4 linked regions of the Struthio camelus genome follow. Each later gene encodes a partner of the first gene's protein in a complex. Links are inferred from orthologs where the notes say so. Each region holds a gene or a part of one and is shown in the gene's direction. Other genes may lie near its edges. The genes, in order: TMEM17, TMEM216, CC2D2A and B9D2.

Region 1 (7,758 bases):
CTGCATATCGAATGAAACCTGCTTTGCTGAGAATTACCGACAGCCCCCACCACCTTGCTCTGCACCTCCTGAAAGATTAAGTCTGAAGCCTGAATTCTGGCACTTGGGAGAGGAGAGGCACAGAAAGCCCAGTCGTGCCAAGACTTGCAGGTGTGAATGGGGCAGAATTTATCTCCCGTAAAGTCTGGAAGCAGAGTGAGCATCCGTTTGCTGACAAAGCTTATGATCAGAAAAATGAAACCTGAATTTCACATGTCAGTCTGACTGACAGCGTTATAACATGGCCTTTGCTGGCTATTCCAGAGCCACCTTTGGAAAAGAAGGGGCCTCTCTGCACCAGTCGGGTCACACAGAAAAGCTTTCAGTGGCACGTCAATGACAACAGACGTTTGTGTAAGTGAGAATATGGCTCAAAATTCATCCATTTACAGTACCTCCTTCTGTACCATATAGTCCTTTAGTACTTCTGCAAAACAAACAGTAAAACTGGTTTAACAGCAGCACCAGCTTTGAGTTTCCCAACGTGCTTTATAAAACTAAAAATCGCCAAAACAAAACAAGCTAGGAAACGGTTTTAACTAAATGCCAAGTACAGCAAGAAGAAAATCAATTCATGGGAGCAAGTAATAGCTTTTTTTTCCCTACTGTCTTTATGCTTAAGACTAAAATAGCCAAGATATATTTAATGCATGGAAGGACTGCAGCTATATATAATGCTTGAAATAGGGGCCTCCAATAGGTCTCATCAGCAGCAATAATTGTTTACCAGACACAAAAATCCTCTAGGTGTTAAACGAACACCAGGGAGTAGCATTCAAGTGACATGGAGAAAAGATTGTCCTAGGGTACCGCAAGCCAGGCGCACAGCTGTGAAATTGCTCTGGCAGACACTGTCACAGCTAATAACGTGATCCTTTCAAACACAGAGAGTCCTCATGGCATTTGTAATTTGTTAAAATTCCCAATCTGTCACTTCTTTCTGAGAACAGAAGGAGAAAACAAGCCTATACTCTGCTTGTCTGTGCATACCTCTGTTCACCAGCACTTTTTACATGTTTTACAGGATTTCTATTAAAACACTGGGCAGGTATTAAAGGGCAAGCAAAGGGAAGAATGATTTCTGTTGCTTGCATGCTTATAGCTATCTAAGGGGCAGTAGCGCAGGCATGCCAGGGAAAACAACATTTGTGAGATTCCAAACCAGCACATTCAGAAATACAGCAATTGCGATTCAGGTGGAAAGATAAACCATTGGCACCATTTAAATGAACTCTGTGTTTCTGAAATGCCAGCTGTAAAAAACTGCTGATATTTAATTTCGTTAGATATACTGCATCTGGTGTTTATGGCTTAGTGCTGTTGCCAGAGAGCCCCAGGAGCTTCGGTCTGGGAGCCAAGCCAGTGTCTACCAACTTAGTTGGACTACTGTGGATACACAAAGATCCAATATTCCTCTGATTTAAAGCTTTCAGGCAGATTTTCAGTGACTTTTGTTTTATTTATAGTTAGCATGTGCCGAGAGAAATAAAACAGTCACTTAATATGCTGCACAACTATGGGTTTATTTCCTCCAGTTTCTCATTTCAGTAGCTTATTTTGAAGCCTGGAGAACTGGAAATCTGTCTATTTCTACCTTAAGCACTCATAGGTGGATAGACACAAAGGAATTCAGTAACGGAATGCCTTTCCGTTAAAAAATAAAAAGCCAATATACAACTTTATTATAAAACTTGGATACTTACACTATTTATACAGATGGCCATCATAACTGTTATAGTCACACACGGCTAAGCGTTTTTCTTTCTGTCACCCCTTATAGCATATATTTATAAGCTTCTGTTATATGAAGCTTTGATTTATCAATGCAGATACCCTGGTGTTCTGATACTTAAAGGGTTTCAGATTATTTTCTGCTTGAAACTGCTCCCTAAAAAACCCTAAAAAAAAAAATCAGAGGAATTCTGTTCATTACATTGACAATAAATGCACGACTCAGCCTGAAGAAAATTAAGCAGGATTAGCAAAACAAAAAGCATATTCCGTCTTCAGGGAGTATTTTAAGCGTCTGAGCGGACACCAAAACACGAAATAAAAATGTGCACAATTTTATTTTGCGGGGACGTGTGGAATGCTCGGCCATCTGCTATAAACGTGAGGCTGCCAAATATCACAGATTCACACCTTGAGTTTGGAAATTGAGTTCACATGGCAAATCCAGGCATTTCTTGTGGTATCTGCATTCCATCAGCCTTTCCTTTACCTGCTACTCAGTTTCACACTTCACTGACTGTTAAGCTGGATTGCTTCACAGTTTTGAAAGTGCAGAGCCCAATTTTACCAAGTTCCATTGACTGCCATAGAGCTGCTCACAGGACACCCGACTGTATGCTTCATAGGTTTTCAGAATGGGGGAACGTAAGAAAATCAGTTTGGGAGATCAGGGCCCCTGCTCAAAGCCACTGGCAACAGGAAAGGAACAACACTGTGCATTCTAGGAAAAATTCCTCCTTCCATTCTGAAAAAGTAATCAAGAGGAAAATCCTTAAAGGCTGAACTTTAACAGGCCACCAGCTTATACTATGAAAAACCCTGCAACTTCCATGAAGATCTTCCTTAATCAAAACCCAACCACGCTTTTAATTCATATACACCTGTTCCTTGGGTGTAATTAACTGAGAATATGGGAATAGTGCACCCCTAATCGGAAGGGTGTGAAATAGATTAGGACCAAGGCAACAACAATAAAACAGGGTTTCAGGCAACTTGATTAGAAATCTTGCACGGATTCATCATCTTGCCACTGTCTATAGCACAACTTTACAGCAAGAGGTGCAAGATGATGCAAAAAGCACTCAAAAATCATTTGTTGAGTCTGGTAGGAAACCTGTTTCTAGCACCTACTGGCAACTGGCAAAATAACAAATACAGATTGCATTTCTTAAACGTTCAGCAACCTACCTAACACTTTTTTTCCACGTTGCCGTAAATGTTAAAGAGAGCTTTAAACCCTTCTAGTACTGTACTTGGTAGTCAGCTAATTAGCAGGCACACAGGCACAGATTTTAGTCATTGAAACTATGGTATACCTCCAGTGCCTTCACAGCTCTGAGCTTTGGGGTCCATGTCTGGCTGGGACACAAGACTGTTGGTATGTCTACTCCATCAAATAGGCCAGCTCACTCAGGCACCATTGTCAGTATGCCTACAATAAGACAGAGCTCAAAGTCAGATACAGTCAGGTCAAAGGAGCTGGACAAATACTCATTTTGCCTTTGCTAGATTATTTCCCTGCAGAGCTGTCCTAGCAGCAAACCTGAGCTAGCTAGCTCAAGGCTAGTCCAGGCAGCCTTGCTGAGCTGTGGTCAGTGCTGTACAGACAGAGCTACATTATCTTTTTTCTTTTGTTATTTTGTAAGGAATATCTTACATTTAATAGCATATCTGCCTTCTTGTGCCCAGGACCTGTTTTAAGTTTTGCATCCCTTTCTGTAGGATTCAACAGAAACTGCATACAGCATTGCACAGGATTAAGCTTCTGTTTTGTCTTATCTGTAGCATCACCTACCTTTTAAGCTTCATTTTCTAGGAGTACTTCCACAGCAAAGCCTGCTGCCTTCCTTGCCTGTTAGGGGACATGCACAGCATCCCTTGAAATTCTGGGATCCTTCCAGAATTCTGGATTCCTCGAGACCCTTCTCCCCTCCAACCTGCGGCAATTATTTAAAAATCACTTCACCTCTTCTGAAGGACCCAAGTTTTTTATGTAGGTCCCTGCTGGCATACATCTGTTTGGGGAAGCTCTTTGAAAAGTATCTGTTGTGAATACTACATCATTCATCAGCACTAAACCAAACGTATTTCTCAGAACTCATGTTTTTCATCTGTCTCTGGGGTTCTCCCAGTGGAATAGGGCAAAATTAAATTTAAACTAGGCTTTAAATTATTTAGTCAGAGATAATTGAGCTTGGAAAGTCATACTAGAGAATGAGCACCCAGGGAAGTAGCTAAATATGATTTTTGGAAGGAGAAGGGAAGGGAGTCGCCACGTCACATTAGGTACATAAAAATCACAAAAGTTCAAAAGTTATCAGCCCTCGTAGGAAAGGGCACAAGTTGCTCTTTTGTTCTGGTCAGGCAGAACATAATTTCCTCCAGGCTTACAAAACGCATCCTTTCTCCTCAGAAGGAGCCAGGCCCTAAGTGTTCTGAAAAATCCTGGTGACAGATTACAGCATTATTAGGGTTCAGGCACAAAGTACCTATACGTTCAAAATAAAACAAGAGCTTTTCTTACTGCCCAGGAAGACTTCCTATAAGGCATAAAAGCTAACTGGAATTAAAAGGCTCTGCTGATATCACCACTACTTTTAACTCAGCTGTGCCACAAACAGGTTTCTTCGAGGAAAGGATATTTTCTAGCTGAGTTTTACCTCGATCTATCATAAAACCAACGCTGTATGATAGCCACTCAAAACAATACCCACTCTGAGGAATTAAATAGCTCCAACAATGTCCACCCTTACTCCACTTCTCCCTCCCTAGTTATCACTGAACACTACGGATCCCCTGAATTTACCCTCATAGAGATGGAAAACAGCCCTGCTCAGGAGGGAAGCAACCGCCTGCTGAAACAACCTTTTGTAACCGTGATTTAAAAAAAAAAAAACAAATTAATAATAATAATAACGAGCCGTGCCCAAACAAACTAGAAAAAACATATCCACCCACACGCCAGCGCCTCCCCCCGCCGAGCGCCGTCCTGAGGCGGCCAACGGACGCGCCGCCGGCCCCACTGCGCCTGCGCGCCGCCCCGTCGCCACAGTAACGGCGGGCCGCGGCGCCGCAGCATGTCGCTGCCCGAGCCCCTGAGGAGGCGGCTCGGCTCCTTTAGCCGCACTGTCTTTATCGACAGCAGCCGCCGCAGCGGCCCGCAGTCCCCGGGCAACAGCGCAGGTAAGGGCGGTGGCGGCTGGCCGGGCGTCGTGCCAGCGACAGACATGGCGGCGGGGGACAGCGCCCGCCGAGGGAACGGTGCCGAGGCGCGCGGGGGAGGGGAGGGGCTTGCCAGGAATAAAGATGGCGGCACCAGCCGACGCCTAGAGGCCGTTGGGGCGGGGCCGCGCGCCCACGGCCGTTACGCGGTGTCTCCGCTCTCCTGAGGGAGGGCCGGCGCGGGCCTGGCGGTCTCTACGTGGTCTCTGGTTTCGCTGTCGATGATGTAGTGTAACTTAATGGGTGTTTTCTGGAGTAAAACAACAGCGGCCGTAATCTTTCCCCCTGCACTTAACGTGCTTCAGTGGCGCAGGGTTAAGACTGGCTTCCCGGGCACTTAAAATATTAAATGCGCAACAGTCTGATTTAAAAGCAGCTCCGCACGACCCTCTGCACCCACCTTTACAGCTCAATAAGCGAGTCGGCATAAAATATGACCGATAAAAGACACCAATACTACACACTGTACACTCCACCTATACGAAATTAAAACGTAGTAATGATTTTATAGAGAACCTTGAGAACAAATAAAAGACGGGAGCTATTGTTTTAAGCCCAATAGTCCTACGCAGAGTTAGGACACCCACCGGACGCTCAGAGCAGAAGGAGACGAACCAAGCAAAAACCCAGACCTTCAACCTTCTTCTTGCAGCTCTTACCAATAAGGACCGATAGCTTCGTCACCTTGCTAGTGAAACCTGCAGGATGATAAAATAAAGCAAAAAGCTATTATTATTTCAAGAGAACCCATTTTGTTTGTGTCGTTAGACCGGTCTATCTATAGTGCTAGCACTTCCTCGTTTAGCCAGATCAATTCCTAATTACAGCTACCAAGCACCACTGAGACGCTTTTCTTAACTCCAGGAATAGCTTCTTATTTTAATCATTTATTTTACCTTTTCTTTCTTGAAAACTCCTACATGAATGTCCAGCCCATTGAAACCAATGGTAAATAGACCATTAACCTCTTTGAGGTCCTGTTTTTGAATCTTAAGTCTACACATACATACTTTAGTGAGTTGCCCTGGTGCCAAGGGGCCACTGGGTTACTGTCTGGCATTTCCACATATTTTTACAATCCCAAAAAGTAAACAGTAGTTCGATTTAGGTGTAGAAAGATGAATTAGACTTGGCTTATATTGCTAAACATTCATCCAAAACACAGTCTTAAAACTTGAGAAGAAGTTACCAGTATGCATGCCTTGTCACTAAGACCTAAAAGTACCCAAAACATTCTCACTGGCTTTTTTTGAATAACATTACATTTTCATCTAATGGGACAGAAACACAGTTGGTTATAATTAGATAGTCTGATTTTTTGAAAGATAAAACAGTGTTTTAGAATTGCATCTCAGTGCCTCTACAATCCATGGTTAGTACCCTAGATCTGGTATTTAGGGATTCATTCATTAGAACAGCTGACAGTTCCTCGGACAAATTTAGGTAGACAGTAAAACTGCTTTGAGGTACCTATAGATTTTCATTCCATGCAGATGTAGGAGAGTGTTGATATTTAAAAATGGGATTATTAAAAATATTGGTTGTCTTGCACCTTCTGTTTCAGTATAGCAAATCCTCGCCCATCAAACCCTACCCTTAAGGTTTGTCCCAGTTCTGTCCCCAAATCCTCCTCCCTTCCCACCTAGCCCAGTAGCTACCATGAACACTTCTGCAACTGGCATAAAGACTTCTGGAACAGACTGTACCAGGCTGCATGTGGTGGAACGGGGAACAGGGATGACAGACTGAGATGGAACAAAGACAGGTATGAGAATGGTTGGAAGATATGACAAGAGATGGCATTATCAGAAGAGAGGTGGTTCTGAAGTCAAAGGTGAACAAAACATGGCTGATAATCTGAGTTTCAATTGAATATCACCATGGTGGCACGCTGGGGCACGGGACTTAGATACAAAACAGCAGGTCCAGAGCAGCAGCTCACAATGAAATCTTTCTAAACTTGCTCAGGTAGTACCAAGTGAAGATTTGTCTGCAAACTGCATTTAGGGAAAACGTGAGAAAAGAGACTGTTGGTAATTGAAGTAAATTGCATGCGACATCGGTTAACTAGACTGTGGCAATAAAACTTAGTCCATTAAAAACAAACAATTCTCTTGGGATGCCCTGGTAAGTTTTTCTTTGTTTGAGTTTAATCTTCTAAATCTATGGCTAAGTCCTAATTTTAGAATTTACAGCCTGCCTAGTGTTATGCAGTTCAATATTTTTTTCTTTGCATTGTGTCAACTTATCCTTTAAAGTCTGGAGAGACGGAAATAAGTTTGAGTTTGATACGTATGACGAACTGTTAGCTCCAAAGAAGTAAAAGAATTACTGTCATCTTGCAGTGTCACTGTGTATTCAAATGTCTATCTTAAATAAAGATTCAAAATGGAGAGTGGGCATTGCAAACCTGCTCTCTAGCAGCAAGTCTGTACCCAGGAGGGTCAGATACAAAACGAGAATAAGCCATAAGTGTATTCATTTAAACTTGGGACATTTTCTTAGAGAACAAAAATAAAATTGGCACTTACTATTTCTACAATGTCAGGATACACTACTACTTGAACAAAGCCTATCAATTTAGTTCAGAGACTGTTGATTAGCTGGTGGCTTATGATTTACTCCACAGTCAAACACTTGATTTGAATTTATAACTAAGGGATCAAAATTCTATATCCTGTGAACTGAAAGTTACATTAGATCCTGGGAAATGGTGTAACCCAAAATAGGGCAGAGTTTTTCCTCTGGGTCTCTGAAAATGCCATT
Region 2 (5,973 bases), on another chromosome or scaffold:
TTGGGGTAGAGAACTGGCAGTCTCATTGCTACATATGTGCAACATAAGAGGAGCCAGGCAGGTTGTTCCCTGAGCTGGGCCTGGCTGCAGAAGCACAGAAACCAGCAGGCTCCTTTTTGGATTTACTCTGGATTTTCTCACTGTGGGGATCAGGAAGAGTTGGATTCTGTGTCAGTTGTGGCGTTTGTGTCTGGCCCTGCTGAGCTATACCCTCTGCTCCCCTTCCAGGCCCCAGGTGCTGGCTGTAGGGAAAGGCTGTGGTACGAGAGGTGACGCTGAGCCCCTCGGCTCCAGAGCATGAGCTGGCCTTGTCACTTGGGATGCCGGGGCTGAGGGCTTGTGCCCCTGGGAAAGGAAGATGCTCCAGACCAGTAATTACAGCCTGGTGCTGTTCCTGCAGTTTCTGCTGCTTTTCTACGACCTGTTTGTCAACTCCTTCTCTGAGCTGCTCCGCACAGCTCCTGCTGTCCAACTTGTCCTCTTCATGTGAGTGCCAGGCAGACCTAGAGGTGTGAGCGGGGGACAGGAGGGCTGGGGTCTCCCGTACCACAAGGGTGCTTACAACCTCTCTCTCCTCCTGCAGTATCCAGGACATTGCCATCCTCTTCAACGTCATCATCATCTTTCTCATGTTCTTCAACACCTTCGTCTTCCAGGCCGGTCTGGTCAACCTCCTCTTTCACAAGTTCAAGGGGACCATCCTCCTGTCAGCGGCCTACCTGGCACTCAGCATCTCTTTCCATGTCTGGGTCATGGTAGGCTGAGAGGGGTCCTGGGCTGCCAACTTTCCCCAGAGGACATGCAGACAGGGCACTGGTCCCCTTGCTTTGCTGGCCACAACCCCTGGCTCCCCTCAGCCCCTCTCCCACATGCTGGGCATCAGTGGAGGGCCAGAATCTCCCCCTGCACCTTTTGTCCTGCACAGTTTGGAAACAGCTGCTCCCCCGGGGGATTTGGGGAAGACTTAGCCTGCCTGTGTGAGCAGCTTTTCAGTAGGTGGGTGAGTGTGTCCAGGAAAGCTCTCTGCTCCCAAGAGGGCAGTGAAGGCAGGAGCAGTGGGGAATTTAGCTGTAGAGATGGGAGAGGTCTTCTCTCAGCCTCTGGCATGACTCCCCCTCCTCACTGCTCCTTGTCCCCCTGCAATTGCGCATGTGCCCCGGCCACGGTTTTTGGGCTTGTAGGCTGCAGCAGTGACGCAGCAGATGTTCCTGGGCCGTGCTCAGCCCAGGAGGCAAAGAGAGGTCATTTGAGAGGCAGGCACTGAGCTATGAGAAGCAGGGACTGGCCTCACAGTCTGCTCAGTACTTGCCCTGACTGGAAGGGAGCTGCCACATCCCAGCCCCCTCCCTGGTTGACCTGCTGGACAATCCTCTTTCCCCATGGAAAGCCCCCTGGCTCTGGCGCTGCGCTGGCACACACTGCTCTGGGTAATCCCCAGCCTGAAGGCCGTGACAGCAGCACCTTGTATTACCTGGGATTAATCTCCAGCAAATGCCAGCGCTCAGAGGCTGGCTGCAGCCCCCCATCCGCTGGCATCAGACAGCTCAGCAAGCTGTAAGGGTTCCCTGCTCATCTGAGAAGCATCTTTCCCTTCTGTCCCTGGCCTTAGCGCTCCCTTGTCCTCTGCCCCAGGCACCAGACCCCAAAAGTAGCAACCCACAACCCCACCTGGCCCCTGAGTACCCCCCTGCGTAGCCCCAGCTATTCTGGGCGTGGGGCAGGGACAGTGCCCCAGCTCCGAGGGTGCCACCCCCACCCCGCTACCAGAGCGCTATGGTGCCGAGGATAGTAAGCGCTCAAGGGGTGGGAGCTGCCCGAGTGTGCAGCCGGGCTTGCGCTGCCCACACACCACCCGGGCAGGGGATTGACAGGGATTTCCTGGGATCTGAAGTCTGAAGCTAGAATAGGTCCTGGCTCGCTGTCTAAATCCCTTGAGCTGCTTAACCTTTGGGGTAGGGCGCTGCTCCCGGCTGCACGCTGTCTCTCGGAGTCAGCCACCGTGCCCACGGGTTCTTGCCCAGGCAGAGAAGGATCTCGTTCTCCCCTGGTGGGGAGAGCCTCAAGGCAGCCACGGTCCGTAGGGTGCAGGGACAGCCTTCTCCTGCTGGCGTTCCCAGGGCACCGTGCTGGGGGAGCTAAAGGTGCAGGGTGCTGAACTCTCCCCGTCCCCAAGCAGTAATGCAAGGGTTATTTCTTGGCCCTGACGCCCCACACATTTGTCTGTCTGCCTCAGAACCTGCGGTGGAGAGAATCCAGCCGTTTCGTGTGGACCGAAGGCCTGCAGACGCTTTTTGTCTTCCAGAGATTGGGTAAGGGCTCACCTTCTCAGGGTGCTGCCTGCCTCACTGGCCATGCTGGGACAGCCCACAGCAGCCCTGGCATCCATGTCAGGGTGGTTGTGGGGGTCCTGTACCATCAGCGGAGGCCCCTGGACCGCCTCTGGGAGCGTGTGTGACGTAACTCCTCAGGGAGGGAGGTGGGGGTGGATGTTCCTGCCCGCCTGGCCCTCACCTCCCTCTCTCCACCAGCGGCTGTGCTTTACTGCTACTTCTACAAGAGAACCGCGGTGCACCTGGGCGACCCCCTCTTCTATCAGGACTCGCTGTGGCTGCGCAAGGAGTTTGCTCAGCTCCGTGGCTGACAGCTCTGCTCAGGCTTTCGGCTGCCTGTTGCCTCATCTCAGCATGCGCAGGCAGCTCCCGGGGTGAGCAGCGCCCTTGCACGCAGGATCAGCGTTTGCCCATGCCAGCTCTCCTGGGGTTCCTTCCATTCCTCCTCGTCTGTGGGCCCAGCCGCTGCCTTGCCAGGGATGGAGCCAAGAGGCCAGAGGGCTTGTCCAGGCCCTATGACTCCAGTCCAGACACATTCCTCCTCTTCCTTCTCTTCCTCCTTCTGGGGACCCATCCTTCCACCTGCTCCAGTGTGGCTCATGCTCCGGCAGCAGCAGGAGCTGCAGGATGCACGCTGCGGGCCCAGCCGTGCAGCAGGAGGGCTCTATCCCGGCATTACATCCCCTGCTGGGACTTAGTTTTTGTAAATTATAAAGAAATAAATTGGCTGTGTTTTCCAGCGGCTGTCGTGTGTCTGTGTGCTGCGGGCACCCCCAGGCCGCTCCTGCTCTTTTCTTGGACTGCGATGCCGTGTTGACAGCAAGCTTCCTTGAGTGACTGTTCTGGAGAGAACTGAACCAATAATGTTATTTACTCATTAGCAGGCCCTAGCTAGCTAGGCAGTGTGTTTTCAGTCACAAAACTGGGACTGTTTTCACCTTGCATCACCTCTCAGTGTCATGCAGGCCACTGGTCCCAACTGGGGATGCTCAGACTGAGGTAGAAGCAGTGGGGGCTCTGGGTGGCATGGGTTTATCCCCGAGCTGCGTTGGGCAGAGGGAGGAGGATCGTTCATGCAGTGCATAGGTGAGAGCTGGTGAGATGTGAAAGAGGGGGAGCGGAAGAGCAGGTTCCCCGTGTCCCGGTTGGGGACAAGGGCTGCAGGACATACGAGAAGGGCAGTGGCTCTGGGTGGCCAGGGGGAACATGGGAGCCAGCAGCTCACCCGTGAAAGCACAGTTTCCCTGCCAGTCTTTGGACTTCGGTAGGAAGCGCTTGAACAGAGGGAGCGCTGGAGCGGGGCCGCGGCTCCTGGTTCTCTGCCGCGAGCAGCCGCCGGCGCCGCGGCGAGCCCGCCGGGCCGGGGCCGCGAACCGGCGTCTCGGAGGTCCCCCAGTCCTCCCCGGCCATAGAGGGGGCGGCGAGAGCGGCCTGGCGCATGCCCCTCCGAGCGCTCCCGGGAGTGAGGGCGGCTGTGGCGGTCTCCATGGAGATGGAAGATGGCGCCCAGGAGTGAGTGCGGGGCCGGGCTGGGCCCGGGCGCCGGTGGGTGCGGCGGGAGCCGGGGACAGCGGGGCTGGGGGAGGCGGGAGGCGGCGGCGGGAGCCGGGGGCAGCGGGGCTGGGGGAGCCGGGGGGCGGCGAGAGCCGGGGGCAGCGGGCCGGGCCGCCCCCGCCGACGGCCGGCGTCTGCTCGCAGGCCGGCAGCGCTCCTCGGTGCCGCTGCAGATCCTGCTCTTCCTCAACGGCTGGTACTGCGCCACTTACTTCCTCCTGGAGGCCTTCATCTTCGTCTACAAGGGTGAGCCCGGCCCCCTCCCCGCCCCCCCGGCCCCCCCCTCCGTCCCCGAGGGCGGTGGCGGCCCACCCGCGGCCGTGCCAGCCCTGAGGGCGGCGGTGGCTGTGCCCGCAGTGCTGCTGTTGCCCTACCCCTCCGCCAACCTGGCGCTGGATGTGGTCATGCTCTTCCTCTACCTGGGCACTGAGGTCACCCGCATCTTCTTTGGTAAGTCCTGGGGTAAGCAGGCGGTGGGGGCCTGGCATGGGCGGCTGGGGCGCTCCAGCCTTGCACACCTCCAGGGCCCAAGCCCACGGTGGCTGGTGTTTGCTCAGGACCCCAGCAGGAAGTGCTGGGGCTGCAGCAGAACCATTTGCTGTGTCCCCCACGGCGGGGTCCTGGCCACAGATGAGCATGGACCCCGCTGGGAGCCTCAGTACCCTTGTGCTGCATGAGGTAGAGGTGAGGCCACAGTAACGTTGCGCTGTGCAGGCTCAAAGGGCAACCTGTGCCAGCGGAAGGTGCCGCTCTCCATCAGCTTGGCCCTGACCTTCCCGGCGGCCACGATGGCGGCCTACTACCTGCTGCTCCAGACCTACGCCCTGCGCCTGGAAGCCATCCTCAACGCCATCCTCCTGGTCTTCTATGCTGCAGAGCTGCTGCTGGGCATCCTCACGCTGGCCTCCTTCTCCAGGTAGTGCTGCAGCTGGAAGCCTGGCCACGTGGTGCAAGGAAGGAAATAACCTGCCCCCCAGCCCGGCACGGTGGGAACCAGGCAGGGCGAGCTGTGGGGTGCAGCCCCCGCCCTAGCCTGGGGGCCTGCTGCTGCCTGCTGACCCAGCCCCATCTCCCCTTCTCTGCAGCACGGATTCGTACTGAGGGCCAGCGCAACACGGTACGATGCCATTCCCGAGCGGCACAGGTACAAGGGACGGCAGGAAGCCCGCAGCCATGCTGACAGCTCCGTCGTCCAGCCCACACCCTACCCCCAGCTGGCCGTGGTGGGAGGGACAGAGATGTGCTGCCGGGCTGGCCCCGCTCCGGCGCGGTCGGGGCGCTGGGCCGAGCGCACGTTGGCGTCGGCGGGTGTCTGTGGCTCAGCCTGTGCCAACGGGCAGCTGCGGGGCAGGGCAGCCTCCACCCTGCGCGTTCCCCTCTACTCTGCCTGCAACACGTGCAAGTAACTCGCTGGGCAGCACCCGCCCTGCTGCCGTCTGGGACTCCAGCTCCACGTAGCAGGATCCGGACCCCTGGGCTTGTGACACGCAGGTCAGTTGGAGATACGGAGAATTACTTTTTCTACTGCAACCTCAGAATAATTTACTATTTTCCAATAAATATTTATTTTTACCTGGTGCCTGGGCATGTAGCTTCCCCCAGGGCTGTTTGGAGCCAGCGCAGGGGGCAGAGGGGCTGCACTTGCCTGCGTGGCCACATGCCGGCAGAACCAGTGCAGGAAGCCCTCACGCATGTTAGAGGTCAGGTACCGGTGGAGGCCAGGTACCGCTCTGCCTGCCCTTCTGGTAGCCCCAGCGCATCTGCCTCCGTCGCTGGCACCGGCAGCTCCAAGAGCCCTGCTCCGCTCTCGCCACTTGCCAGGAAGCAGCAGTATGAGTCATTCTGGTCCTCAGCTGCACAAATAAGCCAGGCCTGGGGAAGGCTGTGCCAGGGCCTGCATTAGCAGGGAGCTGTGCTCACCCCCGCCCCCCCCAAAAATCTCTGAGCCTGCCACCAGCACCCACCTGTGTGCACAGAGCACCCGAGGGAGTCTCCCAAGCTGCCCTTCCCTCCCCTGCAGCCTTGCACTGCACAGGGTCCATAAAACACCCCCTCTATTATTAGAACTTGTTACAAAGGAAACCCAGAA
Region 3 (7,536 bases), on another chromosome or scaffold:
CTTTCTCAAGGAGTAAATATATTTTTGAAGAAGCATTTTATTTGTTTCGGTATAAACTATTTAGACTTCAGCTTACAGAACGCTGAGAGGTAATATTCATTTCAGTGTATTCACTTAAGTCAACATTGCCAGCTGGGGCTATATCAGTGTTTCTGACATATCAGAGGCACAATTCTTCCTCATACGGGCATGAAAAAATTCTGTGTACTTTAAGGAAGTTCTCAGTGTCTGATACTTGATTTTGCCTTTTTTATACATCGTACCAACTCATGAGAGTTATTACCTAAAGCAAAAGAAAAATTAAGTACACCAATTATACATTGATATTGACGATAATACCTACAGTTTAGTAGTACATACGTTACAAAAAAAGGTATTTTGAACTATTTGGTATATGGCTTATAACCCTCAATTCTGAGTATAATTACTTTGGTATGGTCCAGCCTCTACCTGATGGGGGCTGGAAGGAAACTTTTTCCTAGATGTAGATTGTTCCTGAAGCAGCAAATATTAGCATGAAGTTCATCTGACTGCAGTCTCTAAAAGATCAGTGCGTAGGTTAAGCCAGTTGTTAGCTCTCCTGTCATCACTGCAAAGATACGGACAACTATACTAGAGAACTACTTTAAGACAAAAAATCTGGAGGTACCTGCCTTCTTGCATTAATAGTGAGGGACACCAAATTGACTAGCTTAGGTTAGAATTTAACTTTGAGATGGCAAAAGTTAAATAAGATTTCTGCTCTTGGAGAGCAACCTGCTAAGTGGGAAAAGTGGCTTAATTTAGTATGGCAAATTACACGCCTTATAACTAAAAAGAAAGCTTGGATTGACCAGCAGAACACGGAATCACCCTTACAAAGATGCAAGGGACCTCTTGTCACAGCACCTGTCAAGTACTGCTCAAGTTCCTCCTGGGACACCTTCAATTGCATTAACTTGGCTATCCTCCAGAATATTATTACAGTTTATTAAGGCGGGCTAGATAATCTTTTCATGTCGCCAAATTCAACACATTCAAGTATATAGAAAATACCTGACTTTCAAAGGAGACTTAATTTGAGGTGTAGGAAACCTAAATATATCCTAGAATGTTTCTGCATACACCAAGGAAATGACAAATTTGTTTCTTTTCAAATTTAAAGCACCTGTCAGAATCCTAGACACAATACAAAATATTCACAAAAATCACCTTGTTAATGTAGTGTTAACAAAGGAACAAAACCTTTGAATTCTTGAAAAAGGGATAAATGAGTTCAGAATCATGTTCAGAATGCTCCAGAAGTGACCTCTTGGCAAGAGTAGGTAAGATTTCTAGAACTGAGTAAAGTGTATAAAGAATAACGTACTTTGTGACTTTTTAGCACCCACAGAGCTAATGGCACCCACTAGCACTTTCCGCAGCGTACGGTGGAAAGGATTTAAAACTTTGAGTTGAAAAACAGTCTCTTTAATCATCGGAAAAACTAGTCTGCCACTGATGCTGATGTCCAAGCGGCAGCTTTGCTCCTCTCCAGCACCACCTGTAGTCACCTATATTCTGTCAGATGTTCTGGTAATGAGCAGTGATTTCTTTTTCTTCTCTGACAAATCTGAGGGCATTTTATTGTGATTTTCTATCATGTTGGAGCAAGGTGCAATCAGTTAAAGAAAATCAAGATGAGCACAATTTGCTCCCCCTTGGTTATCTATCTCCCTGAAATTGGGATCATTTTAGAGCTGCATATACTAGCTCTTCTAAGAATGCAGCAACATGTCCTCATATTTTGTAGATGCTGTATGGATGTCGTAAGAATTGGAATTTTGCTTCTGTTTCCATTTGTTGTTACAGGATTTGGCTTTGATTCTGCAGGATAAAAGAGCTGTACATGGCATTCCTGACCTTACTTTATCCTTGCAAACTGAAAATAAACTCTATCCTTTGTTGCTTGCTATTCATCTTAAAACTGCTCTCCCTCAGGTCATCGGGCCGGCAATCCCTGTGCCATAGGCAGGACAGGGTGGCCGCATGTCCCAGAGGGCGAGGACGCGGACAAAGCGTGTGACAGCTCTCCCGCGAGCGAGGGAGGGCGAGGGAGGGGAAGCCCAGCCCGCCTCCAGCCCTCGCTCCCTGGGCTGCCTCTTTTTGGGCAGCTGGCCCCGGGGGTCTCCCATCCCTGCAGCAAGAGGTGTGGGAACGGGGCAGAGGCAGCGTGGCGGCCGCCAGCCTAGCGGCACAGCTGCAACTGCTGGTTATTGAGGACCAGCATTATGATTTTGCTTCGCCCCATGGTTTGTTGCATAGTTTGTTTGTCTGCTCTGCCTGTGCCAAAGGTCATCCTGGGCTGTCATTAGCAAAATAACAGCTTATGCCTAAGCGAGTGACAGTGTTACACCTAACAAAGTCGAGACAGCTCATTCAGAGCACGACATCTGCTGTCCAGGGTAATCAGACATTGGCCTTGCTGTTGTTTTTATAATACTGGCTGAAATAAATGTGTTGAACCTAGCTCCGGGAAACGTATGTGGTTTGAATTCTGTATTTCTCCTGTGAGTACAGCCATTGTACTGACGTGTTTTTTACGTAGCTCTCCATCCTGCTAGGCAAAGGTCCCCCACTGCTCCTCCAGGGTAGTGTAGTGATGTTCCTTATGTAACGCTATTCATATTTGTCCATCATTTAAATTGTTTGCATAACTGTTTCTGAAACTAGAATAAATTGTTGGGAAGCAGACTTATTAGCAAAACAAGATGTTTAATGTGATTCATTGCCAAAACCCTATATGAAGGCTCACCCACTGGATCACTTCCACGGTGATACAGTGAAGCTCAGCAGGCACTGGAGGCTCACTGCTGCGTATGTGCATGTGCCGCACCAAACCGCTCTCCTGATCACATTCCTCTCCCCTTCTTGTAATCTGTTGGCACGTAAGGTGTTTCCTAGCCGTGATAGTTCCTCTCTGCAAATTAAAAACGCTTACACCCAATCTTTTCTCTACTGTGACTGTTTGCTTCTTCCCATGAACCCCTTTTTGATAACAACAGTACTCAGAAATAGGAAACAACTTAGCCACCTCTTTTCATGTCACTTTAGGTACTAAAACTTTGCAGTAATGGACCTGCAGATGTTACGAAGGGGCAAGGATAACCAGGTCTAATAACAGCTCCATTTGGTATCAGCAATAACATTTATTCCGTTCATAAGGAAGATATTAATACAAATGTTTAGATAAGAAATTACTGTTCACCAAATTCAGTGCAGCAAAAAAGACCCTCTCTATACTTGATAGGAATAGTATCAATTACTTTGTACCTGTAAAAGTTAGGAATTGTATACAAGTCCACATTTCTACAAACTATCTGGAACTGCTAAGATACTCCTTCCACTGCTAGTATCTAGGTAAGATGGTTGTGAGCACTCAACAAGCAGATAACCCATCCCTCCACTGCTTCTCTAGCCAGGGGTGTCAGGGATTGTATTTCCCGTTAAGCAGCCTCTAGAGAAATCTGAATGAAACCTTGATACCCTTCTTTTATTCTGCTATGGAAGTAATATAATACAGTAAAAACTTTAAAAATAAGAAGTCCTATCATTTGTCTTACTTACTACTTTGGTTTCATGGTCTTCCTCCTCCAAAGTCAGATCATTTAGAGATACCTTTTTAGTCTTGATGTGGTAAAAAGCCTGTCTTGGCAAAGTGCAGCTGCTGAAAGCTTATACTTCTTTTTTTTTTTTCCAGTGTGCTATGTTTCCTGTGACTTTTCCCAAAAATTACAGGCTAAGAAGTTTGCTGAGACTTATGTTGATCCGTTAGGATCGTCTGTAAACAATAGGATACAGCTGTCTTCTTGATACAATTTGGGTTAATATTCTTTCTGAATATTTTAATGCATTGGAAAACAGAGATAGCACTTGAAAAACTGCTGGATAGTAACTTTACTTGAAGTAAAGTCCACTTTAAGGATTTATCCTTACATCATTAATGTCAGGGTTGAAATTCAGACTGAAATTCATCCAAGTAAATTTTGCTTATCTGAATGTTGGCATGTAGTCTAAACTAGGGGTCTACTATCACCCTGTAGTCAGCAGGGGGAGGTATGCTCCTCAGCAAACAATTTACATTCAGGAATATATAACTTAATTGCTTTGAATCTTACATGTCCCATGGATAGCATATGCTTCTCCTCTGGTTACAGAGGAAGTATAGAGAAATCAGCCAGATAATTTAGCAGAGCTAGGTCCTTAAAGTTAGGAAGAGTGACTATTTTTATTGTATTTCAGTCAGAAATAATCATTTCCGATCCTGCAAAAATATACAATGCATATTCTTTTCCAAGTTACTGCAGTAATTGAAATGTGTAGATGTTTGCAGAAGCTTTAAGCGCTTCCTCTTCCCTATGCTTTATTCATGACTTTCTCACTCCCTTTTCCTTTAGAAAAATAGTTTATAAAAAAGACATTTTCCAGGGTTTTTTTTTTCAGTGGCTTATGGGAGGGAATCTGACTCTTTCTCTTTAAAAAGGAAGGCCAGTGGTTTCCTTACAGCCTGTTGCTAGGCTGAGAGTGTTTGTGGCTGGCTGTTGTCTGTAGTCCTGGAGCTGCTGCATAAGAAAACCCAGGTAGGAAACAAATGCTTTCTTTTAGACCTCTTTAAATACCACTGTGTTTTCCTTGCTTTCATGCATGAGGCCGATTTAAGAATCCAAAATCTTCAAAATTATTTTTCACACATTTTCAAAGTAATCTTTTTTTTCAAAGAGAAGTTAGAGAAACTTCACTGTACTTCTGTTTTCAGTTTTAAGTGCTTTAGAAACAACCTCTGAGCTGAGAGAGAGCTTTATAGTTCTTACATTCAGTTGTTTATTACATTTTTAAATGCCTGCTGTAGTATTTGCTTTCAAGAAATGCTAGAAAATTGTTAAAGACAGTGGCTATACTGGTCTTCACCTATGTTGTGGCATTTTCCATTTACATGTGCCTGTAAGATAAGACTGTTTAAATCTGTTATGTAAATGCTTGATATGAAAAAGACTTCTGTGCTGAGTAATAAAAATGCTGCAGATTCTTGCAGTGCGGTATTTTCTCTGCCACGAGGATGGCATTTGATGAGACTTGCACGCAGCAAGGAAACATTCCAATTTTCAGCCATGTCCTTCTTCACACTAGTGCAACATACTTACAGAGGGAACTGGTACTGAGATGAATACAAAGGTGGTTTGGCACATAGTCACATCTGTCTAACGAAAACACTTGCTCAGGGCAAGTTCCTCACTGTGCTAGTCAGGGAAGCTGTCTGGCAACCTGAAAATCCTTTGGGCCTAGTAGCTGGTAAGTACTAATCCTTAGGCAGGAGATAATGCAATTATTTACCACCTTCCTACATCCTCCATTGGCTCCTCCTCCATTTTTTAGGCACCTCCTAAAAGATAAAGAGGAGTTTGAAGACCAGCCTTGCCTGGCCTGAAAACATTATTTGAAGTAAGAGTGAAAGAGCCTTTACATGCCCAGTACTAAAAAGGATGGAGAAACCAAGGATGACCTGTGTCGGCCTCCGTTAGCCCTCTGGCTAACGGAGAGATTCAGCCAGATATGAAAACATGTCTCATATGTCTCAATCCTGTGAGTCCTTTCATGGGAATTTTGAAATCCAGACTAAATTATGCTGCTGTGAGTCATTTTTAGATTAGTAAATCAACACTTGGATTTTGCACTAGTGCAGCTATGGTGGTGCAGGCCAAAGGCACTTCCCTGTTGATTAAAGGTAATGCAGTGCAGTACAAGAAACTGAAACAATAGTAGTAATGAATTGAGTTGTACCAATTTAACTAAAAAATTCTTCGAATGTTTGTAATCAACTACAACTTCCTGGTGTATATAAAATCATAGTAATTTGATGGATTTCAGACTTGGTAAACATGAAATGTCAAGCAAGCCCAATGCTGAGAGAGAAGAAAGGGATTGAACATGTCTCTGACATCTGAATTTCTGTGAATCTGCTCTCTGGTCAGGAGACTTTATGGACTCTGGGTGGGTTATTTATAAAAAAACATGCAACAGGTGACCTTCATATAGTGGCTCACTTTATTCACTGTTATATAGAATTATTAAATAAACTGACACATGTATTTTGAATTACTCAGTTTTCAAAAAAATAGCATTTTTTTAAACTATTAAGACTACATGTTAAATGGTACATCATTTGAGTGTTCAGGGTGCACAGGTCACATGGAATGATCAGTGTGCACACAGTAAAGTGTCTCTGACTGTAAAATAACTGCTCACAGTTTCTGTGTTTTGGTTCTGCCAGCCAGGTGTGAGCTACTGAATAGATGGACTGCAGTGAAGAATCCCGGATGATAATCATGGAGGTTAGTGTCCCCTTAGTTGAGACAAAACCGTTTTAACATCATTTCTCAGTGAGAGTGACAGGGATTTTTTGCATACGTAACTGACCTATAAGACGTTTTAGTGTTACTAAAATTACCTTATATGCTCTTGTTGTTCCCTAGCTCTGTACAGTGAGTACTAATTAACAGAGGCTTGTATAATTATTATATTTCTGGGCAAATACATTATAATCATAACCACATGGTGTGAAATATACACTTTTTATATACATTGCTATTGTTTCACATTGGTGTAACATATTGGCTGGATTAAATTATTAGTGAAATGTATTTTAAGCTCGAGTGCGTTATAAGAACAGGAGGTTACTAATCAGTAGAGCTACTTTTTTAGTTGGGCAACTGCATTTGTGTTTAAACTGTGCCTAGAGAAGCATGTTATGTCATGGCCAAACAGGTAGCTGACAGGAGGAGATGAAATGAAAAAATGCTCTAGAGATGACCTTCGGCTTTAACCCTGCTAATCCTTACTACCCTCCACACATTTGCGTAACTTCAGCCACGTGTCACGAGTTTCAGGACTGGGGCCTGCAAACGACATCAGTGAAATACAGACAGGCAAAACTGCTTAAATCGCAGCACTTGATAAGAGTAACAGATGACTTCTGTGGGCCGGGAGAGGGGCCCAGTCTGCGGCCCACAGCACAACTCCCTCTCTCTGAAAGGATTTCCTGGATGAGGACGCTGCCCAGGTTGAAAGGCTGAAGCGGACCTTGACAGCCCACAGGCACCGAAGAAGAAAACCGGTGAGGGTGTTCATTTGTTCATTTGCGACGGGCGGCTCCGCAGCGCCAGCAGCCGCCGGCCCGCCGCCGTGGGCCGCCCTCAGCGCGCCGCACGCGGCCGCGCATGCGCAAGCGGCCTCGGGCGCGGCGCACGCGCGCTCCCGCCCGCCCCCTCCGCCGCAGGCTCGGGGGACCCCCACGGGGCCGGGTCAGCGGCAGGTCGCGGCTCTCGCCGTCTTTCCCCCGCTCCCCTCACCCCCATCCTACTCATGCGTTCTCCTGCTCCGTCTCTGCCCCACTGCAGCTGCGGGAAGCTGACGGTGCCCCCGAGCTTTCGCCGCCGCCGCCGCCGCCGCCGGAAGGGAGCCGCGCCAGCATGGCGGCCGCTCCGCCGCCGCGCGGTGAGTCACCGTCCAACGGCTGCGGCG
Region 4 (7,748 bases), on another chromosome or scaffold:
TGGCGTTGGGCACGTCAGGAAGGGAGTGGGGAGGTGGGGGGATAGAGGGGGGTTTGGGGCATTGTTGGGGGATTTGGGGATTTTGGGGAGGGAATTGGGTTGGGGGGGAGAGTGGGAGGTTCGAGGGGGTTTAGGAGAGAATGGGGGGATTGAGAGGGGTTGGGGGGATTGGGGGTTTTGGGGGGAGAATGGGGGTTTTGGGGGAGGGATTTAGAGGGTTTGGGGGATAGAGGGGCGTTTGGGGAACGCTAGGGGGAATTGGGGGCTTGGGGGGATTTCGGGGGGTTTGGGGGTCTTTAGGGGGATTTGGGGGGGTTGGGATTTTGGGGGGTTTGAGGGGCTGGATGTGGGTTTGGGGGGGCGTTAGGGGGAATTGGGGGTTTGGGGGGACTTTGGGGGGTTTGGGGGACGTTAGGGGGATTTAGGGGTTGGGATTTCGGGGGGTTTGAGGGGCTGGATGGGGGTTTGGGGGGCGTTAGGGGGAATTGGGGGCTTGGGGGGGGTTTCGGGGGGTTTGAGGGGCTGGATGGGGGTTTGGGGGGCGTTAGGGGGAATTGGGGGCTTGGGGGGGATTTCGGGGGGTTTGAGGGGCTGGATGTGGGTTTGGGGGGGTTAGGGGGAATTGGGGGCTTGGGGAGGATTTTGGGGGGTTTGAGGGGCTGGATGTGGGTTTGGGGGGGTTAGGGGGAATTGGGGGCTTGGGGATTTCGGGGGGTTTGAGGGGATTTCGGGGGGTTTGAGAGGCTGGATGTGGGTTTGGGGGGGTTAGGGGGAATTGGGGGCTTGGGGGGGGTTTCGGGGGGCGCGCGGGGGCCGGAGGGGGCCGGGGGCGCCTTGACGCGGGGCGCAGCTGCTGGCCTGCTGCCTGAACGCCGCCTGCCTGGGGCTGCTGGACGCGGGGCTGCCGCTGGCCTCGCTCTTCTGCGGCGTCGCCTGCGCCCTGCGGCCCGACGGCCGCCTCGTCCTCGACCCCACGGCGCGCCAGGAGCGGGTGAGCGGGTCCCCCCCCCGTCCCCCCCCACCCCGGGGGGCCGCGGTCCCCCCCCCCGGCTCAGCCCCGCTGCCCCTCGCCCCGCAGGAGGCCCGCGCCGTGCTCACCTTCGCCATCGCCAGCCCCGACGGCCGCCTCCTGGCCGCCGCCACCACCAAGGGCGCCTGCTCCCCCCAGGAGGTCAGCGCCCCCCCCCCCCCCCCCCGTCCCGGCTTTCGGGGCGAATCGCCGCGGGTTTGGGTCGCTCCGGGCAGCGAGGGGTTTCCTGCGGGTTCCCGGCCTGTCGGTTCCCCCCCCCCCCCAAAACACACACGCACTGGGGGTTGTGACCCCCGTCCTGCCCCGGGGGGCGGCCCCCCCCCCGTGTCCCCCCCCCATGCTGTGGGGCAGCCCCCCCCAATGCTGTGGGGCAGCCCCCCCCATGTCCCGTTCCCCCCCCCATGCCATGGGGCAGCCCCCCACCATGTCCCGTTCCCCCCCACCACCATTGGGCGGCCATCTGCGTCATGTTCCCCCCCCCCATGCCGTGGGGCAGCCCCCCCCCCGTCCCGTTCCCCCTCCCGCCATGGGGCGGCCCCCTGTGTCCTGCCCCCCCCCCCATGAGGAACCCCCCCCCCGTCGGGTGGCCCCTGTCCCCCCCTCCCACCATGGGGCAGCCCCCATGTTCCACCCCCCCCCGCCGTGGGGAAGCCCCCCCCCCATGTCCTGTTCCCCCCCTGCGGGTGAGGTGGCCCCCCCGTGCCCCCCCCACCATGGGGTGGCCCCCCTGTGCCCCCCGCCACCATGGGGCAGCCCCCCCCATGGGTGAGGTGGCCCCCCCGTGCCCCCCCCCCCGCCGTGGGGCGGCCCCCCACGCCCCGCGCCCCCTCCGCAGCTGCAGCAGAGCCTCGCCGCCGCCCAGCGCGCCGCCGCCGCCATCTTCCAGTTCTACCGCGACTGCCTGCGCCGCAAGTACTCCAAGTGGTGACGCGCCGGACGCCGGGGCCCCCGACCCCCCCGCACCCATCCGGACTCCCCCCCGCACCCCCCTCCGCCGTCGGGGGCATTAAACAGGCCGCCCCGACCTGCTGCCGCCTCTCACTGCCGCCGCCCTGGGGGGGCCGAGCCCCGTCCCCCCTCCAGCCCTGCGTGCAGCCCCCCCCCCCACCCGGGGTAATTACCAGGGGGTAATTAGGGGCCTAATTGCTGCCACCTTGGCCCCCAGCTGTGCCCCCCTCCCCAGGCAGAGCGGGTGCGTTGGGGTCCTCGGCTGAGGCCGGGCGAGCTCGTGTCACCTCCCGGGAGGGGAAGGTGGGGGAGCCCGGGTGTGGGGTGCTCCCAATGTGGGGGGGGCTCTGGGCGTGGGGTGCCCCCAATGTGGGGGGCTGAGGGGGTTCCGGGTATGTGGGGTGCCCCATTTCAGGAGCCTGGGCAGGGGACAGTGGGACCCTGCACGCAGGACACGTGTGGGGACACGTGGCTATGGGGGGTGTGCGGGGCACGTGTGGGGACACGCTTGGAGACACGCGTGTCTGTGCCTGCAGGGACATGTGGGTGCGCTTGGGCAGGGTCAGGGGCCATGTCGGGCCACGTTGACCCATGTTGAGTTGCGTCAGGCCGTATCAGGCCATGCTGACCCGTGTCAAGCCGTGTCAGGCTATGCTGAGCCATGTCAAGCCATATTGGGCCACGTTGACCCATGTCGAGCTGCATCAGGCCATATCAGGCCATGTTGAGCCATGTTGACCCATGTCAAGCCATGTCAGGCCATGTCGAGCCATGTTGACCCATGTCAAGCTGCGTCAGGCCATGTCGAGCCATGTTGACCCATGTCAAGCTGTGTCAGGCCATGTCGAGCCATGTTGACCCATGTCAAGCTGTGTCAGGCCATGTCGAGCCATGTGGACCCACGTCAAGCCGTGTCAGTCTATGCTGAGCCATGTTGACCCATGTCAAGCCGCGTGAGGCTATGCTGAACAGTGTTGACCCATGTCAAGCCGTGTCAGGCCATGTCGAGCCATGTTGACCCACGTCAAGCCGTGTCAGTCTATGCTGAGCCATGTTGACCCATGTCAAGCCGCGTGAGGCTATGCTGAACCGTGTTGACCCATGTCAAGCCGTGTCAGGCCATGTCGAGCCATGTTGACCCATGTCAAGCTGTGTCAGGCCATGTCGAGCCATGTGGACCCACGTCAAGCCGTGTCAGTCTATGCTGAACCATGTTGACCCATGTCAAGCCGCGTGAGGCTATGCTGAACCGTGTTGACCCATGTCAAGCCGTGTCAGGCCAGGTCGAGCCATGTGGACCCACGTCAAGCCGTGTCAGTCTATGCTGAGCCATGTTGACCCATGTCAAGCCGCGTGAGGCTATGCTGAACCGTGTTGACCCATGTCAAGCCGTGTCAGGCCATGTCGAGCCATGTTGACCCACGTCAAGCCGTGTCAGGCTATGCTGAGCCATGTTGACCCATGTCAAGCCGCGTGAGGCTATGCTGAACCGTGTTGACCCATGTCAAGCTGTGTCAGGCTATGCTGAACCATGTTGACCCATGTCAAGCCGTGTCAGGCCATGTCGAGCCATGTTGACCCATGTCAAGCCGTGTCAGGCCATGTCGAGCCACATGGACCCATGTCAAGCCGTGTCAGGCCATGTCGAGCCACGTGGACCCATGTCAAGCCGTGTCAGGCTATGCTGAACCATGTTGACCCATGTCAAGCCGTGTCAGGCCATGTCGAGCCATGTTGACCCATGTCAAGCTGTGTCAGGCCACGTTGAGCCATGCTGACCCGTGTCAGGCCATGTTGACCCATGTCGAGCCATGTTGACCCACGTCGGGCCACGTCCAACCAGGCCCCCAAGATGGCGGCCCCCACAGCGCGGCAGCGCCAAGATGGCGGCGCCCTCCGCCGTACAGGCGCAAACATGGCGGCCCCGCCCTGCGCCACTACCGAGATGGCCGCCTCCTTATTCCCTCTCGCCCCAAGTTGGCGGCCCCCATTCCCCCAGGGCTCTGCCGCTGCCAAGGTGGCGCCGGCAGCCGCCTCCCCGGGCCGCGGCACCCGGCACCGGGAGGCCGGTCCGGTCCTTCGCGCTCCTGCGGGCCGAGATGGCCCCGCTCGGGGACCGGCGGAGGCGGCGCGACCTTCCCAAGATGGCGGCGGGGGGTGGAGCCGCGCTCTGCCCGCCGCCAGCCAGGGCGGGGCTGGCCACGCCCCCTCCCCTCCTGCCGCGGCCAATCAGGCGCCGGCGTTGCGCAGGCTGGCGGCGTTGCCGTGGCAACAGCAGCCGGAAGTGCGTGTGAGCGGCGGCGGGGAGCGCGCGGCGGCGGCGGCGGCGCGAGGAGCCCCCGGGGCGGCGGTGGGTGGGGGCGCAGCGCGCATGCGCGGGGCGGGGGGTTGCACACGAGTGTGCAAGGGGGGGCGGGGGGTGCGAACACCTGGGCTGGGCGTGCACCGGGGTGGTGGGTGTGCACCGCGGTTGTGCGTGCACGAGGGTGGTGGGTGTGCACGAGGGTGGTGGTTGTGCACCGGGGTTGTGCGTGCACGAGGGTTGTGGTTGTGCACGAGGGTGGTGGGTGTGCACCGGGGTTGTGCGTGCACGAGGGTGGTGGGTGTGCACGAGGGTGGTGGTTGTGCACCGGGGTTGTGCGTGCACGAGGGTGGTGGTTGTGCACGAGGGTGGTGGGTGTGCACCGGGGTTGTGCGTGCACGAGGGTTGTGCATGCACGAGGGTGGTGGTTGTGCACGAGGGTGGTGGGTGTGCACCGGGGTTGTGCGTGCACGAGGGTTGTGCATGCACGAGGGTGGTGGTTGTGCACGAGGGTGGTGGGTGTGCACCGCGGTTGTGCATGCACGAGGGTGGTGGGTGTGCACCGGGGTTGTGCGCGCACGAGGGTGGTGGGTGTGCACGAGGGTGGTGGGTGTGCACCGCGGTTGTGCATGCACGAGGGTGGTGGGTGTGCACGAGGGTGGTGGGTGTGCACCGCGGTTGTGCATGCACGAGGGTGGTGGGTGTGCACCGGGGTTGTGCGCGCACGAGGGCGCTGTGTGTGCGGCAGGACCGCGTGTGCAGCGGCGCCCGGGGCGGCCATGGCGGAGGTGCACGTCATCGGGCAGATCGTGGGGGCCAGCGGCTTCGCCGACGGCGGCCTCTTCTGCAAGTGGGGCGTCCACGCCGGTAGGGCAGGCGCACACGCGTGTCGGAGCGTGCACACGCGGCTGGGAGCATGCACGTACACGGAGGCTGCCCCGTACACGCGTGTGGGAGCATGCACATGTACCGGGCCTGCGTGCACACGCGTGTGGCAGTGCACAGATGCGGGTGGGAGCGTGCACACGCGGGCAGAGGCGGGCACGCGCGTGTGGGAGCATGCAGAGGCTGGCAGCAGCACGCAGCCGTGTGCGGGAGCGGGCACACGTGTGTGCAGGAGCGGGCACACGTGGGCAGAGGGGGGCGCGCGCGGGCGGGAGGGCGCACACGCGTGTGCGAGGCGGGCGGGAGGGCGCACACGCGTGTGCGAGGCGGGCGGGAGGGCGCATGCGCGTGTGCGAGGCGGGCCGGCGTGCCGCAGGTGGAGGCGGGAGGGCGCACACGCGTGTGCGAGGCGGGCGGGAGGGTGCACGCGCGTGTGCGAGGCGGGCCGGCGTGCCGCAGGCGGAGGCGGGCGGGTGCACGCGCGTGTGCGAGGCGGGCGGGAGGGCGCACGCGCGTGTGCGAGGCGGGCCGGCGTGCCGCAGGCGGAGGCGGGCGGGTGCACACGCGTGTGCGAGGCGGGCGGGAGGGTGCACGCGCGTGTGCGAGGCGGGCCGGCGTGCCGCAGGCGGCGCGTGGCGGCTGCTGGCCGGCCGCCGCCAGGGCCAGACGCAGCTGGACGAGCCGCAGCCGGGCGCCGCCGCCTACTGGAGCCACCCCATCGACCTGCACTTCGCCACCCGCGGCCTGCAAGGTGCCCCCGCGCCCCCCGTGCACGCGCGTGACCCCCCGTGCACACACGTGATCCCCCGTGCACAATCCCCATGCACACGCGTGTCCCCCCGTGCACACGCGCGTCCCCCCGTGCACATGTGCATGATCCCCCCGTGCACACGCGTGTCCCCCGTGCTCAGGCGTGTCCCCCCATGCACACGTGTGTCCCCCCATGCATGATCCCCCGTGCACATGCGCGTCCCCCCGTGCACACGCGTGATCCCCCCGTGCACAGGCGTGTCCTCCCGTGCACACGCGTGTCCCCCTGTGCACACACGCGTCCCCCCGTGCACATCCGTGTCCCCCCATGCATGATCCCCCGTGCACAGGCGTGTCCCCCCGTGCACATGTGCATGATCCCCCCGTGCACACGCGTGATCCCCCCGTGCACAGGCGTGTCCTCCCGTGCGCATGCGTGTCCCCCTGTGCACACACGCGTCCCCCCGTGCACATCCGTGTCCCCCCATGCATGATCCCCCGTGCACAGGCGTGTCCCCCCGTGCACACGTGTGTCCTCCCGTGCACATGTGCATGATCCCCCCGTGCACACGCGTGTCCCCCCGTGCTCAGGCATGTCCCCCCATGCATGATCCCCCGTGCACAGGCGTGTCCCCCCGTGCACATCCGTGTCCCCCCGTGCACATGTGCATGATCCCCCCGTGCACACGCGTGATCCCCCCATGCACAGGCGTGTCCTCCCGTGCACACCCGTGTCCCCCCGTGCACACGCACGTCCCCCCGTGCACATCCGTGTCCCCCCATGCATGATCCCCCGTGCACAGGCGTGTCCCCCCGTGCACACGCGCGTCCCCCCGTGCACGCGCGGCCCCCGGGCTGACGGCGGCGGTGCGGGTGACACCCCCCCCCCCCGCGCCAGGGTGGCCCCGGCTGCACCTGCAGGTTTGGCACCGCGACGCCTTCGGGCGCGCCGCCCTGGCCGGCTACGGCTTCTGCGCGGTGCCGGCGCGGGCCGGCTGGCACGGCCTGGCCTGCGGCACGTGGCGCCCGCGCGGGGGCCCCCGCCAGCGCCTGGCCCGCCGCCTCCTGGGGGGGGGCGCCCAGCTGCGCGGCCCCGACCTGGTGCTGGGCGCCGCCGAGCGCTTCCGCCTGCGCACCGAGGCCGCCGGCACCGTCCACCTCCAGCTGGCCGTGCTGCTGCGCCACTTCGCCCGCTACGGCGTCCAGAGCTAGGGCCCCGCTGCGCCCGGACGCCTGGGCCCCGCTGCGCCCGCACGCCTGGGCCCCGCTGCGCCCGGACGCCTGGGCCCCGCTGCGCCCGCACGCCTGGGCCCCCGCTGCGCCCGCACGCCTGGGCCCCCGCTGCGCCCGCACGCCTGGGCCCCCGCGCCCGCACGCCTGGGCCCCGCTGCGCCCGCACGCCTGGGCCCCCGCGCCCGGACACCTGGGCCCCGCTGCGCCCGCACGCCTGGGCCCCCGCGCCCGGACACCTGGGCCCCGCTGCACCCGGACGCCTGGGCCCCCGCGCCCGCACGCCTGGGCCCCGCTGCGCCCGCACGCCTGGGCCCCGCTGCGCCTGCACGCCTGGGCCCCCGCGCCTGGAGGCCTGGGCCCCCGCGCCCGGACGCCTGGGCCCCGCTGCGCCCGCACGCCTGGGCCCCCGCGCCCGGACGCCTGGGCCCCGCTGCGCCCAGACGCCTGGGCCCCGCTGCGCGCGCACGCCTGGGCCCCGCTGCACCCAGACGCCTGGGCCCCGCTGCGCCCGGATGCCTGGGCCCCGCTGCGCCCGCACGCCTGGGCCCCCGCGCCCAGACGCCTGGGCCCCCGTGCCCGGACGCCTGGGCCCCGCTGCGC

The links.
Region 2: TMEM17 (region 1) and TMEM216 share a complex: the UniProt entries of both Homo sapiens proteins name them as parts of the tectonic-like complex. The link is inferred for Struthio camelus from reciprocal best matches to the Homo sapiens genes TMEM17 and TMEM216.
Region 3: TMEM17 (region 1) and CC2D2A share a complex: the UniProt entries of both Homo sapiens proteins name them as parts of the tectonic-like complex. The link is inferred for Struthio camelus from reciprocal best matches to the Homo sapiens genes TMEM17 and CC2D2A.
Region 4: TMEM17 (region 1) and B9D2 share a complex: the UniProt entries of both Homo sapiens proteins name them as parts of the tectonic-like complex. The link is inferred for Struthio camelus from reciprocal best matches to the Homo sapiens genes TMEM17 and B9D2.

What each region holds. Positions count from the first base shown.
Region 1 is NC_090944.1:140,245,710-140,253,467, reverse strand, and holds the start of TMEM17 (transmembrane protein 17), read left to right. Parts: upstream 1-4,756; 5' UTR 4,757-4,847; coding exon 4,848-4,953; intron 4,954-7,758. UniProt on the Homo sapiens protein: Transmembrane component of the tectonic-like complex, a complex localized at the transition zone of primary cilia and acting as a barrier that prevents diffusion of transmembrane proteins between the cilia and plasma membranes.
Region 2 is NC_090946.1:3,983,357-3,989,329, forward strand, and holds TMEM216 (transmembrane protein 216), read left to right. Parts: upstream 1-3,809; 5' UTR 3,810-3,829; coding exon 3,830-3,875; intron 3,876-4,028; coding exon 4,029-4,130; intron 4,131-4,241; coding exon 4,242-4,334; intron 4,335-4,598; coding exon 4,599-4,800; intron 4,801-4,969; coding exon 4,970-4,985; 3' UTR 4,986-5,456; downstream 5,457-5,973. Other genes in the region: TMEM138 (transmembrane protein 138), read left to right, coding at 359-486, 584-755, 2,234-2,309, 2,529-2,641. UniProt on the Homo sapiens protein: Part of the tectonic-like complex which is required for tissue-specific ciliogenesis and may regulate ciliary membrane composition.
Region 3 is NC_090945.1:70,664,488-70,672,023, reverse strand, and holds the start of CC2D2A (coiled-coil and C2 domain-containing protein 2A), read left to right. Parts: upstream 1-4,522; 5' UTR 4,523-4,598; intron 4,599-6,286; 5' UTR 6,287-6,308; coding exon 6,309-6,347; intron 6,348-6,862; exon of another isoform or gene 6,863-7,048; coding exon 7,049-7,129; intron 7,130-7,238; exon of another isoform or gene 7,239-7,412; coding exon 7,413-7,509; exon of another isoform or gene 7,510-7,526; intron 7,527-7,536. UniProt on the Homo sapiens protein: Component of the tectonic-like complex, a complex localized at the transition zone of primary cilia and acting as a barrier that prevents diffusion of transmembrane proteins between the cilia and plasma membranes.
Region 4 is NC_090957.1:703,801-711,548, reverse strand, and holds B9D2 (B9 domain-containing protein 2), read left to right. Parts: upstream 1-4,888; 5' UTR 4,889-4,909; coding exon 4,910-5,147; intron 5,148-5,790; coding exon 5,791-5,916; intron 5,917-6,813; coding exon 6,814-7,127; 3' UTR 7,128-7,248; downstream 7,249-7,748. Other genes in the region: EXOSC5 (exosome complex component RRP46), read left to right, coding at 851-991, 1,079-1,171, 1,866-1,958. UniProt on the Homo sapiens protein: Component of the tectonic-like complex, a complex localized at the transition zone of primary cilia and acting as a barrier that prevents diffusion of transmembrane proteins between the cilia and plasma membranes.